Linked DNA regions of Drosophila melanogaster. The protein of the gene in region 3 interacts with the protein of the main gene of each other region in a pairwise test. Each region holds a gene or a part of one and is shown on either strand. Other genes may lie near its edges.

Region 1 (3,305 bases), on a different chromosome or scaffold from region 3:
ATATGAGGAACCTTTGATTGGGACCTGCAATGAATAATCCATCAATATATTTAATGAACTGCTTTAATTTTAATTACATTTTTAACAAATTTTCAACGCCTAGCTCCTGGAAAATGACAATGTGAAAAGCCGTGCGGCCAGTGTGTCCACTCCAAGGAATGTTTAATAAGAACATCAGTGTTGATCAAAATACTGTTGAAAACTTACTGGAGCATATGTAATTAATATATAAAATTCAGTTAAAGCTCAAGTCACGTGTTCTTAACATTTAGTAAAAATAGAAATTTATACTAAAGGTTTTGGTAAATTTGAGCCTTAAAATTTTGGTTAAGTTTAGCCTTAAAATGGCAGTTAAACATAAAAAGTTTAAATTCCTATAAAAAGACGTACCAGTGTTGTACAACAGGCTTAATTTACAAACTTCCAAATACAAATGTAATTATACATATTTATGTAAAGTCAAGCCATCACAATTTAATTCCACCTTTGGAAATGTTTTTATATATTGGGTGTTCGTTTTTATTGAACTTGACATGCTTATGACTAAATAGTTAAGGAAACTGGAATTGGAATAAATACAGCTCGACCAAAAACACAAGCCACAATTATGCAATAAATTCAATCCTTTAATGTGACATATAGTTAACTTATTCGAGTACTCTTTCTTAGACATATGTGGGCTATAAACATTGTAAAATCTCTACTGCATTCGATTGGGAAACATAAACCACAAGACATGGGCGGAAATAGCCTATTCCTGGCTGATTTCATTGGCATCTGAGAAATCCGAGACGGCGACGCTGCTGGTGCTGATTAAATGTCGATCGGGCATTTCGCCGATGGAAGGAAGAGTGGTGCTATCGCTGGCGCTGGACAAAGATATCTCCTCCCAGCTGACGCCGGAGTCGCATTCGTTGCCCGGGGAAACGGGTGTGGCGTCGGCATTGTGCGGCTCATCCTCCGGTGCCTGGCCAATGCTGATAGCCGGCGTTGCTCTGGAACGTTTGCCAACTAGTTCGACGTTTTGATTGCGATCCGCAGCAATGCGCTTGCGATCGGGAATTTGATTGCCCGTGGTGGGACTCCAGTCCATGGCACGGTGCACCAAAGCCCGAAAAGTTATACGGATCGGCTCGCTCGGTGGACTGTCCATGTCTGAGGGATTTCTTCTGGACACTTGCGGCGACATGATCATCGTGGAGTTGTGCAAAGCACTGGGATGCGAAGTCAAAAAATCAGACTCGCTCTCCTGTCGACATTAATGAGAAGCTAATTACTATTTATTGTTTATTGTTAACTGAATACTTTTCCCACGTGCAGAGCCCTTTCTAGATCCTCATCCTGGGGACTGATACTAGCTGATTGCTGCACGACACTTGCTAATTCGGTCATTTCCTCAATATCCATGCCTTCCTCGTAAACGCCTGCGCCTGAGCAAATAGTTAGTTATATATGTATGTATGTTAAGGACGTCTAATTTAGAATATCTTACTTTTGAGGAAGTCAACTAATCTCCTGTTTGTTCGGCTGCGTAACTCCATTTTCAATGGGACAAAAACAACAACTTTAGTACTAATATTATGTGGTTACAATGCATTTGCTCTTGTTCTTGCTGCTAACGGAACTTTTCGCCAAACTGAAATCGTCTATAACGCCATATCGATAGTTAAGATGTGATCTCAAGTAATGGTCACACTTAGAGATGGTGCAACAAGTTTTCGAGTTGTATGTGAAAATATTAAAAACTATTTAAAAAAAAAAAAAAACGATAAGGCTCTGAAAATGTTGTGGTTATTATAAAGTGATATAAGTGATTAAGTTCTATAATGTAACTTGATAAAATTGTATATGTTTTCCTCGTAATTTAAGTCCAGTCTTTTAATTACCTCAACAAAAAGCCTTTAAACTTCGTTTGGTATTACACTTAAAAAACAATTTATGGGTAAAAAGCTGGGCTCCAAAATGGCGAAGTTTTAACACCAGCTCTGCGAAGTTGAAATGCATCGTGAAAAAAGTAAATACTTTGCGAACTTTTTGTGTGGTCAACCTGCTGACCAAAGTTGCAGCTTTCACTACCCACAACGCTGGCAATTGTTTTTCTAATTTAAGTAAAAAAATATGCGTCTCTTTGCATTTCGTTTGCATGCCCAGCCACCTGCGAGTTTTCTGGCCCCCTGAACACGCCCCTTTCACTTTTTACATACATACCTCGGACCCCATCGTTGCATCCCAAAACGAAAAGCGAGTTGAAATTCAACAAAATGTCAAAATGCCACTTGAAGTCAGTTTGCCATTTTCGCTGCCATGGAGCGCCTTTTCGACCCGAAAATTGTTCTTTCTGTGGGGCAGTTTTCAGCTCGACTTTGTCCCCATGGAAAGTCATAATACCCTGAATATTTTGAGATCATACACGGACTGGGGTGCTTCAGAAATATGCAGGCTTATGAAAACCTATTTAATAGCATTCGTAAATTTTTCGTGCCTTAATTTAGATAGGTTAAAAAAAGAATTTACGTTACATGTGTACCTTGTTAAGTTTTTTAAAAAACAAAAATATATAATTTATTATATTCCATATATTTACATATTTTATACAATTTATTTTGGTTTTTCATATTTTTCAAGGTATTTACATTATTTTCTTGTTATATTTTGGGCATAACTTTTTTCCTGATACTATTTTCTATATAACCAAATTATTTTGCTGGTTAAAACCAGCGACACCAAAAATAAAAGCACAAAAAATAGGAAAAGTTTCGATGTCGTCGCGTTGGCGAGCATTGCTTCTTTTGCATAGGAGTCGCCATTGAGTCCCAACTGCATTTGGCTTTACTTTCCCCTCGCCGTCGACCCACCCAAACCTCAGTTTTAGTGGCACGTCAAAGGCAAATAAATAAAAAAAAGAATGAAAAAAAAAAAAATTGAGAATAGAAGAAAAACCTGGACCAAAGCCGTTTGTGTTAGCCCGCATTTTGTACAGTTTTTGGCTGGCATTTAAAGTCCGTTCAATTACCGCGAAACACGTTTGACAGGGCAACAAAAAATAAAATAAAACGTCGACTTGAATTATTTGCGTTAGCTAAGGTAACGAGTTTAAGCGTTCTGAGTGGCGAAAATGTATTCAAATTTTATGCGTTCCTTTAACCCTTTAATGCCCCACCCCTTTTCGCAGGCAGTGAAGCAGCTAACACTTATTGGATTAGCAAATATGTGCCGCTGTCGATTTGCTTTTAGTGGCTCCGTTTTATGTTTTCATTATGGTGGGGGACTAAAGGATTTTCGCCATTAACTTTTGCTCGCCAGCT
Region 2 (4,854 bases), on a different chromosome or scaffold from region 3:
ACCACCACTACCATAACCACCTCCCTAGCCACAGTCGACTCAGGCAGAGGCAATCGTCAGCCGTGTTACTACTCGTAGTGAAGCCAAAACCCTCAACTGTGCATGCCAGGGTGGTTCGATTTGTTCAGCAGTAAATGCAACTTGTTCACCTCTGTACACGTAATAATCCATTTTGACCCTTGCCAGGTATGAAAACTACAAATATTAAAGCCTTCTTACATACTTCAATGGCTTGCATTCATGAATTCCCGGGTCCTGCGAATTGTTTAGACACCTTTGCTTTTAAAGGTAATTTTAAGATGTTTCCCTTCATTGCAAATCGAACCACCCTCCAAGCAAATACATATTTTTGTATAAATCTTAAGACCTACCATAAGAGTAACAATTTCGTGTTTCCTGATATTATTGAGTAAATGATGTCTCGCGCTTACGAGACAATCTCCCAATCTTTTGTAGCTTTTTTGCCGGTAATCTCCCATTTGCCCCGCCTGAGCCAAGAATTTATAATACACTGTGAGTAGGATGTATATCTTTGTGTATGATATAATCAAGTTAATTAGTTTGTAAATAAATCTCATTTAGTTTCCTTTTGCGTTCAAATACAAATTTACTACGGCTTCGTATTGCGAACGAATATATATAATAAACACTTAGTTGGATTGATAAAGAAGTTTTCGTCTTTAGGCAGACTTGTAAGATATAAGCGGGCATCTATTTATCAAAATAAAAAGAACTTAACAGGATTCAGTTCGTAGATCTTAACGTACAATAAGCAAAATTTCCGATCTATCTTACGAATCTGGGCTACTCATTGCCTTCCTTAAGCGTAGGGTAAGCGTACGGGTTCGTAACTTAGTGTTACCAAAAACAAAGTGGGAAAGTCAGCGTATTTATACTCAATCTTATGTCTTTTTACCGCCCCGCTTGGCAGCAGGCTTCTTGGCCTTCTTGGGAGTCGGTTCCTGAGCAGACTCCTCTTCGACCTCCTCGGCGGCATCATCCTGCGGCGGCGTCTTAATCTTTTTGCTGCTGGTTGACGCCTTCGCCGGCAAGTTTTCCTTCTGCTCCTGCTTATCTACATTCTCGGCTTCCTTGTCGGCATTATCCTGCGGCGGCGTCTTGTTCTTTTTGCTGCTGGTTGACGCCTTCGCCGGCAAGTTTTCCTTCTGCTCCTGCTTATCTACATTCTCGGCTTCCTTGTCGACATTATCCTGCGGCGGGGTCTTGTCCTTTTTACTGATGCTGCTGCTGCCAGACACCTTCACTGGAACATTCTCCTTCTGGTCCTGTTTGTCCGCTTTGACCAAAAAGATTGCGTGCTGACCACCGCCAGATGCGAGCAGCATGTGCTTCCCCTGCGTGTTCTTGCTGACAACCACGATCGGTTCGAGCTCATCATCGCCGTCGCCAACGCCTAGTTGATTGTTGACACCGGAGCCCCAGGAATACAGTTTGCCATCAATTGTAACGGCATAGGAACAGACTTCGCCACATCCAACGGACACAATCTTTTCGGTCAGCTTCTTTACAATCGTTGGCTTCTCCACAACATCCTTGACATCGCCCAGACCAAGCCGACCGTACTCCGGACGACCCACTACGGAACACTTAAGGTCCGTTGTCAGGATGACAGTATGGTGCTGACCGCCGGCAATATGTCGGATATCTTTGAGTTCCGTCTTGATGGGCGTCAGTGCGAACTCCTTGCCCTTTGTCTCGTGGGCCAGCTGCTTGAAGTTGTTAAGCCCTGTGGCCCAGATGACCTGTGTCTGTGACTCGCGCATGAATGTGCAGTAGTTGGTGGCCCAGATGGCCTCAAAAGGTTTGGCCCGCGTGATGATGAGCTGGGTGGGCCGCAGCAAGTCGCGTTTGCCACGACGACCTGGGGGTTAACATTTTTTTAATACGAATTTCGTTGAAAATTTGAATGCCAAGACTTACCCTCTCCGGAGATGGAACGCTCCGACAGCCGGCCGAGTTGTCCCTGCTCAGCGCAGCCCACGGTAAAGACCTTTCCGGCAGTGGTCAGGATGACCAAATGATCGGCGCCGGACGCGATGCTACAACAGACAGTGCCCTCCATCAGATCGATGGGCGTACGCTTGTTACCATCGATGGTGAGGCCCATGTTGCCATGAGAGTCCCGGAACGAGCCCCAAGCGAAGACACGGCCATCCTCCAGCAGACAAGCGGAATGCGAGTCTCCCGCCGAAATGCACAGAGCCTTGCCGGGCAAATCGATAAGATCCGGCTTTGACTCGCTGCCATCCTCGCTGGTGTCACGGCCTAGAGCACCTTCGTCATTGCAACCGAATGAGTAAATGTCCCCTGACTTGGTCAGCACCAGGTTGTGCATGCCACCGGCGGATATGTCCACGGCATCCGGGATGCCCGCCACAGGGCTGAGACGCTTGCGCTCCAGTATGTCCTCGCCGAGACCAAGTTGGCCCACATCGCCGTTGCCGCAGACTAGCACGTTGCCGAGCACGGTCCTCCGCTTGGGCAGCTCCAGATGAAAAGCGATTCTGGCGCGCTTCGCCTTCGGTGGCTGCTGCTCCGCTTCGCCGGCATTGTTGTTATTAGTCAGGGCCTTTCTGCGCGGCATTTTAGCTTGTATTTTCACAATTTTTTGTCACCGAAACTGGAAATAGTGCGTTTGTGTGTGTGTGTAAGAAATATATATAAGGTTAGGGACGCCGGTGATGCAGCTTAGTTCTGCTCACACTCACAATGGAAATAATGCCGGTCTCTGGTTCAGCGGGAGTTCCACGTTGTCTAGATGGTGTTGCTACGGCGGTTTGGAGGCGAGTGAAAACACCAAATGCAAGCGAATCCCAATGCGACCTACCTGGGTCGAAGAAAATGCGCGGGAAGCGGCGGCAGCTGGCCTTCAGGGTACAGTGTTGCGGGCTTGGCGAATTCCCCGCCGCATCTGGCTATTAGCGAGGTCACACTCCAATTTCAGGGTCGCTTCTGCGCCTATTGACCAATTGTTAGTACATCTTTGTTATCTTTGCACTGTTCCTAATTGCAAATAATAAAACAAAGCCTGCTATAACCCACAGTTTATTTATTTCGAGATATTGATAACTTTTAGAATGGAGCGTAGCGTGAACTCAAACTATGACAGTTGGTTAACAGTTCTCTAGCGAGTTTGCGAGCCGATTGCCGACCGATTCTATCGAAAGAGCTATCGATAATGTGCGGGAAATTTAAACTTTCCTTACCCACTCACATTATTTCAAAACAAATTTGTTGTTAAATATTATAAAATGTTCTACCTTTAAGCCAATGCTTCATTTTCAACGTGATTGTATGTATATTGCATGCTATAGATCAGAAAATAAACAATACTATTTGAAAAGGTTTTCCATTAACTTTATTACAAAATACATAGAGTTACAATATAATTGGTTATTCATTTACTTCCCATATAAGTCTATCTAGCCACTGCACCGCAAAGTGAGTGCATCAAATACAAAAAGAATCCACTTTGCCCATTCCGCATCCGCACTCCAAATCCCGGCAGCCGACCCTCGATTTCCCTACCCAAACATTAACATTTAATCCGACTGCCCCCATTCAGATATGTATAGTACGTCTGTCTGATGCATCTGCCACTCAGCACTAGCCGTACAAAACGAGCAGAATTGATAAAAACGCGAAAAATAATAATCACTTGATGTCTGTTTGCGTATACATATTGCATGTTTTTGCCATTTTTTAATCAGTTTCGCAAAAATGATTTGAGCGTATTCCCTATATTTGTGTATGCAAACACGCCCCTGCGAAACCACAGCCATCGCAGCCGCCCACGTAGCTGATTTTATTATCAATTTTAATAAAAAATGTTTGTGCACTTTTTGCAGCACCTGTCGGACAGGTGGGCCTTTGCCGGCCCGAGTACACATGGACATGGACCCTATTTATTGGTAGCCACGTCAACCGTCGTCAGCACAGCCAATTACGCAAATTAAACAGATTGTTATCCTGTCGCGACAGAGGACACAGGACGCAGGACAATGTGACAAGCTGGGCAGCTTAATTCAATCAACGTGACATAATTACTTAATTAATTAAGAGCGCCCAGCGGTCACACATTCAAATCGGCCATCATTTTGCGAAAGTCGTTCAGCGAGCCATACATCTCGAAGTCCGCTCCCCCGTTTCCGGTTCCGCCTGCGTAGGCGCCCTGCGATCGTTGCGATCGGGTACTAGGTGGGCGTGGCAGGGTCAGCGGCACGGGCAACAGTTCCGGCATCACCGAGTGGTGCGTGATCAGCGCCTTCAGCGAACTGAACTCCTTGGTGAAGCCCTAAAATGGTAAATACCATCATAATATATAATAAATATTATATATAATGTGCTCGGACTTACCTTTATCTTGTAGCCCCTTTGCGTCCGCAGGATCAGATAGTGGGCCACTCGTGGTGAAGGTGGTGGCACTCGCAGCGAGAGGGCGAAACATCCCGGCTTTGTGCTGCTCTGGCGCACTAGAAACGCACCTGGACTCTGTCGGGACAGGGCCTCCAGGGATATTTCCCTGGGAATGCCCGCTTGAAACCAGGCGGCTCCCTTAAGCTCCTGCTGCTCGGCTAGGCTGAGATTATCCAGGCGCAGGGCACTGTGGCCGGGAAACAATTTCGGACTGGAGTTGGCTGATAATTACACGGAAGTAAGGTAACCTTAGCCAACCATTTCATATCTGTGACATAAGAGTCTACCTACCGCTGCACGTCTCTCTCAGATACTTTTTGCTGGCGGCGGGCAGCTCCACCTGCAGCCGCTGGGTGGCACTCTCCAGTGCGGACAGTGACTGGCGGCAGGAGTCGCCGAACTTGCTGGCCACGTACT
Region 3 (4,376 bases):
GTCAACGTCCTCATAATGCACTACGTCCGCACTTCTTTGAATCTCCGCTATTTATAGGTCACTTTCTGACTGCACTTTTAGGTGCAATTCCATGGCGGTCATCAGCTTTAATCATATTGAACCAAGGCAAACACGGTCGTCCATTTGCAGTGATAACTGCCAAATTGATTTTAGCCACCCCCTTGCCATCCTCCACGTATTTTGAAAATCAAGTGGATGGCCAGAAAATATGATTACATCGTGGCAAATAAACTTTACACCTGAAAGTAAACATAGATACACGCACGCTTTTCAATAAAGATATTCTAGATATTGTAATACACACAGGTATTGAAAGGGATTTATTTAAGCAGCAGCTTTGTACTAAAAGCAATAATAATTTTTCACAGAAATTTACCATTTAGCTGAACGCCATTAAAATTGCGATCAATTTAATTGACTTGCAGTAAACACAAATGAAAAGTATGAAAAGCTGCTAGAAACCACAAGCATATATACATTAAACTAAATTGGCCAGGATTTTTATTCACTTCCAAATGTTCCAGCAAATAATAACGCAACAATTTCAAAAATCAAGGAAGATAAATTCATTTAATAGGCATCTTTCGTTAGCCAGTTAAGTACTTCATAAATAATCTCCATCCGCATGCGGCATTTTTGCCACTCAACCATTTACATTTGCGTACTAATTGCATAGATTTTTGGCTGGAGGTTATATGAGGTTACTTTTCAAATTATACAATTTCAATATTAATATTCAGTAAAAATTCAAAATACAATACCAAAATGTATCTAAGAGATCCCTATTTCTATATTTACATACTCCATTAATACATTTTAATCTACTTAGAAAAGTTCGTTTCAATTTTCAGAGACTTTCTTCATGCAATATGCACGATAAATAAAATAAATGTTTTAAACTTTCATATTTTAGAACCTTTTCAGTGTTCAAGTTAAAAAGTAGTTGAAATACCTTTCACTCTATCATAGAATTCTTCATCTCCATTGCTAGCTAAGCGCTTTCTATACATTTGTCCCTTCTAATTCGGATTGAACTGGAAGAAGTCCACGTTGAGATCGAGAATAGCCTCTGTGTTGGGCGTTTCCTTCATGGTCAGGGCCTCCACGGCATTATCGCTGGCATGATCGTAGCCATGGTTCACAGTCGGAGGAGCAGTTGCCACTGGCGGCTGCATAAGATCGCTGACGTTTCTAAGCAGACTCTCCTCGGAAGGCGGATGAAGTTGACCGCCCGCCGATAGATTGAGACGCTGTGCAGCCTCGTCTGTGAGCGGATCGTCCAGCGACATGCTCAACTCTGCGTAGACCACCAGATTGCGGGCTCCTTCACTACCGCTGCCGGCAACCAAGGCCGCTCCCTCTGATTCCGGCATCGGTGCCAGCGGCGACTCCATGGCGGACATATCCAACGCATACTGACCCTCGGGTATGCCCAAAACTCGTGCAATTCGTGCATTTACAAAATGCAGTCCAGAGGTATTCCGTATAAGCCGTTGGCTGCGCAATTGCAGCTGCTCCACAAAGTCGTTAAGTTCGTTAAGAAAGAGATCAGAGCGCTGTTCCTCGCTGAGATGGGAATGCCGCTGCAGTTGGGCGGTCAGAAGGCCGAACAGCGACGGCGTGGAGGGAGGATGAACCGTTGATGGTACTGTAGCTACAGCTACAGGTGGTGTCTGCTCGCCCGGACGCGGCATGTGCTCTGGGAATTTGACAAAGTGACGCTGCAGACGGCGTCCCAAAAAGATCTTTCCACAGCCGGGACAAACGGCATTTTTGGGCACGGCTCGTTGGATGGTTGTCGTTGTGGTCGGTTCCTGGCTTATACTGACGCTGCTGCTGACACTCGTGCTTTTCGGCGCTGCCATGGGTGCCCGGTAGTCCTTGTCCCGCAAGTCGGCCACCAGCATCTCAAGCATGCGGGCAGAACTTGGCTCAACCGCTGAGCCACTGGTCACGGGAGCGGGCTGTGGCATCAAGCTGCGCACCTGGCGACCGGATCTAGTGCGATGGGTGTCGGGAGCAGGTTTTTGCTCCGCTAGTGTTGGTTTCTTCGCCACAGGAGCGGTGGCAACCGAACAGGCTCTTTTCGATGGTCTACCCACTTTGGCAGGCGGATTCTGGGCATTTTTCTCTATCGCCGGGCGAATCCCCATGACGGCGGGATCCGGACAGCGGTAAATCGTTAATTGTTGCGTAGCCGCATCTGTGCGAATCACCTGATGGCGCTTTCTGCACAGGAATAAAAGATCACGGAACGTGATCAGAGAAGGTGAATGAAAGCTCCAAAAAATAGGGATTACTACCCACCGATCGATGACTATGTGATCGTTTTTGGACAGCTTGTGCAGACTGCAGGCCAGCTGGCCCAGAGTATCCTTAACGCGTAGCAAATCGCCTCCTGCAGCCGGCAAATCTTCGTCGGGCACGGAATTCTCTGCAGGATTCTTGGCGGCCTCCTGTCGATCCTGTACACCACCGGTCTTATCCGGCAGCACCTGCAGCTCGGCCAGGACCGAGGGATCCTCCAGGAGATGCTTCATTGGCCAGCCACGTTTGGTGGTTACAAATAAACATAAAAACAAATCTATGAACAAAACCGAATCGGATTTCGTGTTATTTTGGTATTTAGTATATTCTTAGATTCCCATGACTGTGGTCACACAAATTGTTTGATTTAAGCTTGCAAATACCTCGTGGTGAATAGACGTGCTCAAACAGAACATAAAGCAAATCTAAGAGTCAAAATTTTTTCTCTTCATCGAGGTACTATCATCATTAGCGTTCACTTATTACATTAAAATTAATAAGCACATCATCATCCCATTTTTAATACAATTTAGCTTTCGATACTAATCGCCTACACTTGATTCTCACCACAACCATTTCCCAAGGTCTTAGCCCATTTAGTTGCGCAGTGGAGAAAGAAAATAATCGATGATTCCTCGAAAAACATCGATGTTTGCGATTTTTCTCCACCTCTAATAAATATTAGCGTTATTTTCCGGATAATTATAGTTTGAACTTGGAAAATCCGCGGAGGCGAAGGAAATGGCCGAGAACGCGGGCTTCATCAGTGTGCCCTGGGGGCAGCACAAGCTGGGCGCGATGTACAATACGCCGTTTCCCTCGATAAGCCGCCCGAAGTGCATCGGTGTGTGCAGCATAAACGCTAGCCGGGAATTTGTGGACGACGCCAGCTGCGCCAGCTACTTGGCTGGCCAACCGTGGCCACCGCTGCCGTTCGATCTTAACGGGGGTATAGAGGATGTGATCCGTAAGCCCGTCGAGAACGGCAAACGGGATCTGGAAATTATGCTGACCTACATTAAGCAACACCAGAAGGAGCTGCTCCGTCAGAGTAGCTCCGATGCGAGAAATCTACGCCTGGACAGCGACTTTGTAACACTGCGCGGTATTTTGCGGCAGATAATGTGCCTGCAGTATGATAATCGCTCATTCCGCGTCAAGGCGACGCTCCTGAACGGCAACGTCTACATGTGCAAGGAGGAAACCCCAGAGCAGCAGCTGGAGAACGCGAACATGAGCAGGGCACAGCGGGTCATGTGCTCCTGGGGCTTCAAGTTCGAGCAGTACCTGACCAGTGCCCAGGCGCAGGGAAAACCGGTGACCAATGTGCCGGTCAACGAGGCAGAGGAGTTCATGGGCGTGTACCGCACGAACCTGGCCGGGATTTTGATGCTATACGGCGCCGAACTGGACTGTGTGGACAGCAAGGAGCCAGTGTGAGTGGTCCAGGGTTTAAATACTTATGAATGATTAATGTTCCATCCATTCATTATTTGTGTATACACTTACACGAATCCCATTAGTGACTTCAAAGATTGCAGAGTGCTCGACTCATTGAAATTCGTAGAGCTAAAGACCAGCGTCTTCAATATGAACCCTCACCAAATTCGCACCTTCAAATCGTTCAAGTCTGCCAACTGGTGGAGTCAGTCATTCCTGGTGGGCATCACTACGCTCTACGTGGGACTCCGCGACACCAAGGGCATGCTGCAGAGGATCGATGAGATCGATGTGGCAACACTGGCCCGCAACAAACCGTGGAGTGCATCGGCAATGGCTTGGTACCTGGAACAGTTTCTGCGCAATCTTAAGAAGCTGCTGGTGAACATTAACGATCCGTTTGCGGTGGTCCAGGTGACTTTTTTAAATAAGCACGCCAGCTACGAAGTGCTGCGCGGTCCGGAACATCAAATCCTGCCCAACTGGTATCGAGATTTGCTCAAAACGCGCTCCTAAGGCAATGCATAACATTTTCTAAACAACAGCAAGTCTGATTTTATAATGGGAATTAATCGTTTCTTTTTGTAATGCTTCCCGTACGATAACTA

What was found.
Region 1: the proteins of CG13005 (region 3) and CG14931 interact in a two-hybrid assay, tested with the Drosophila melanogaster proteins (one large-scale study listed by BioGRID).
Region 2: the proteins of CG13005 (region 3) and Rcc1 interact in a two-hybrid assay, tested with the Drosophila melanogaster proteins (one large-scale study listed by BioGRID).

The regions. Positions count from the first base shown.
Region 1 is NT_033779.5:11,786,778-11,790,082, reverse strand, and holds CG14931 (uncharacterized protein), read right to left. Parts: upstream 1,750-3,305; 5' UTR 1,542-1,749; coding exon 1,493-1,541; intron 1,431-1,492; coding exon 1,306-1,430; intron 1,250-1,305; coding exon 752-1,249; 3' UTR 608-751; downstream 1-607. Other genes in the region: CG14932 (uncharacterized protein), read right to left, coding at 1-24, 78-79.
Region 2 is NT_037436.4:5,929,677-5,934,530, forward strand, and holds Rcc1 (regulator of chromosome condensation 1), read right to left. Parts: upstream 3,098-4,854; 5' UTR 2,730-3,097; intron 2,642-2,729; 5' UTR 2,606-2,641; coding exon 1,942-2,605; intron 1,883-1,941; coding exon 903-1,882; 3' UTR 586-902; downstream 1-585. Other genes in the region: Egfrap (EGFR adaptor protein), read right to left, coding at 4,094-4,315, 4,378-4,658, 4,729-4,854. UniProt on the Drosophila melanogaster protein: Promotes the exchange of Ran-bound GDP by GTP. Involved in the regulation of onset of chromosome condensation in the S phase. Binds to chromatin.
Region 3 is NC_004354.4:16,801,945-16,806,320, reverse strand, and holds CG13005 (uncharacterized protein), read right to left. Parts: upstream 2,672-4,376; 5' UTR 2,562-2,671; coding exon 2,329-2,561; intron 2,251-2,328; coding exon 1,041-2,250; 3' UTR 567-1,040; downstream 1-566. Other genes in the region: ppk28 (pickpocket 28), read right to left, coding at 1-14; Rai1 (Rat1 interacting protein 1), read left to right, coding at 3,070-3,764, 3,852-4,284.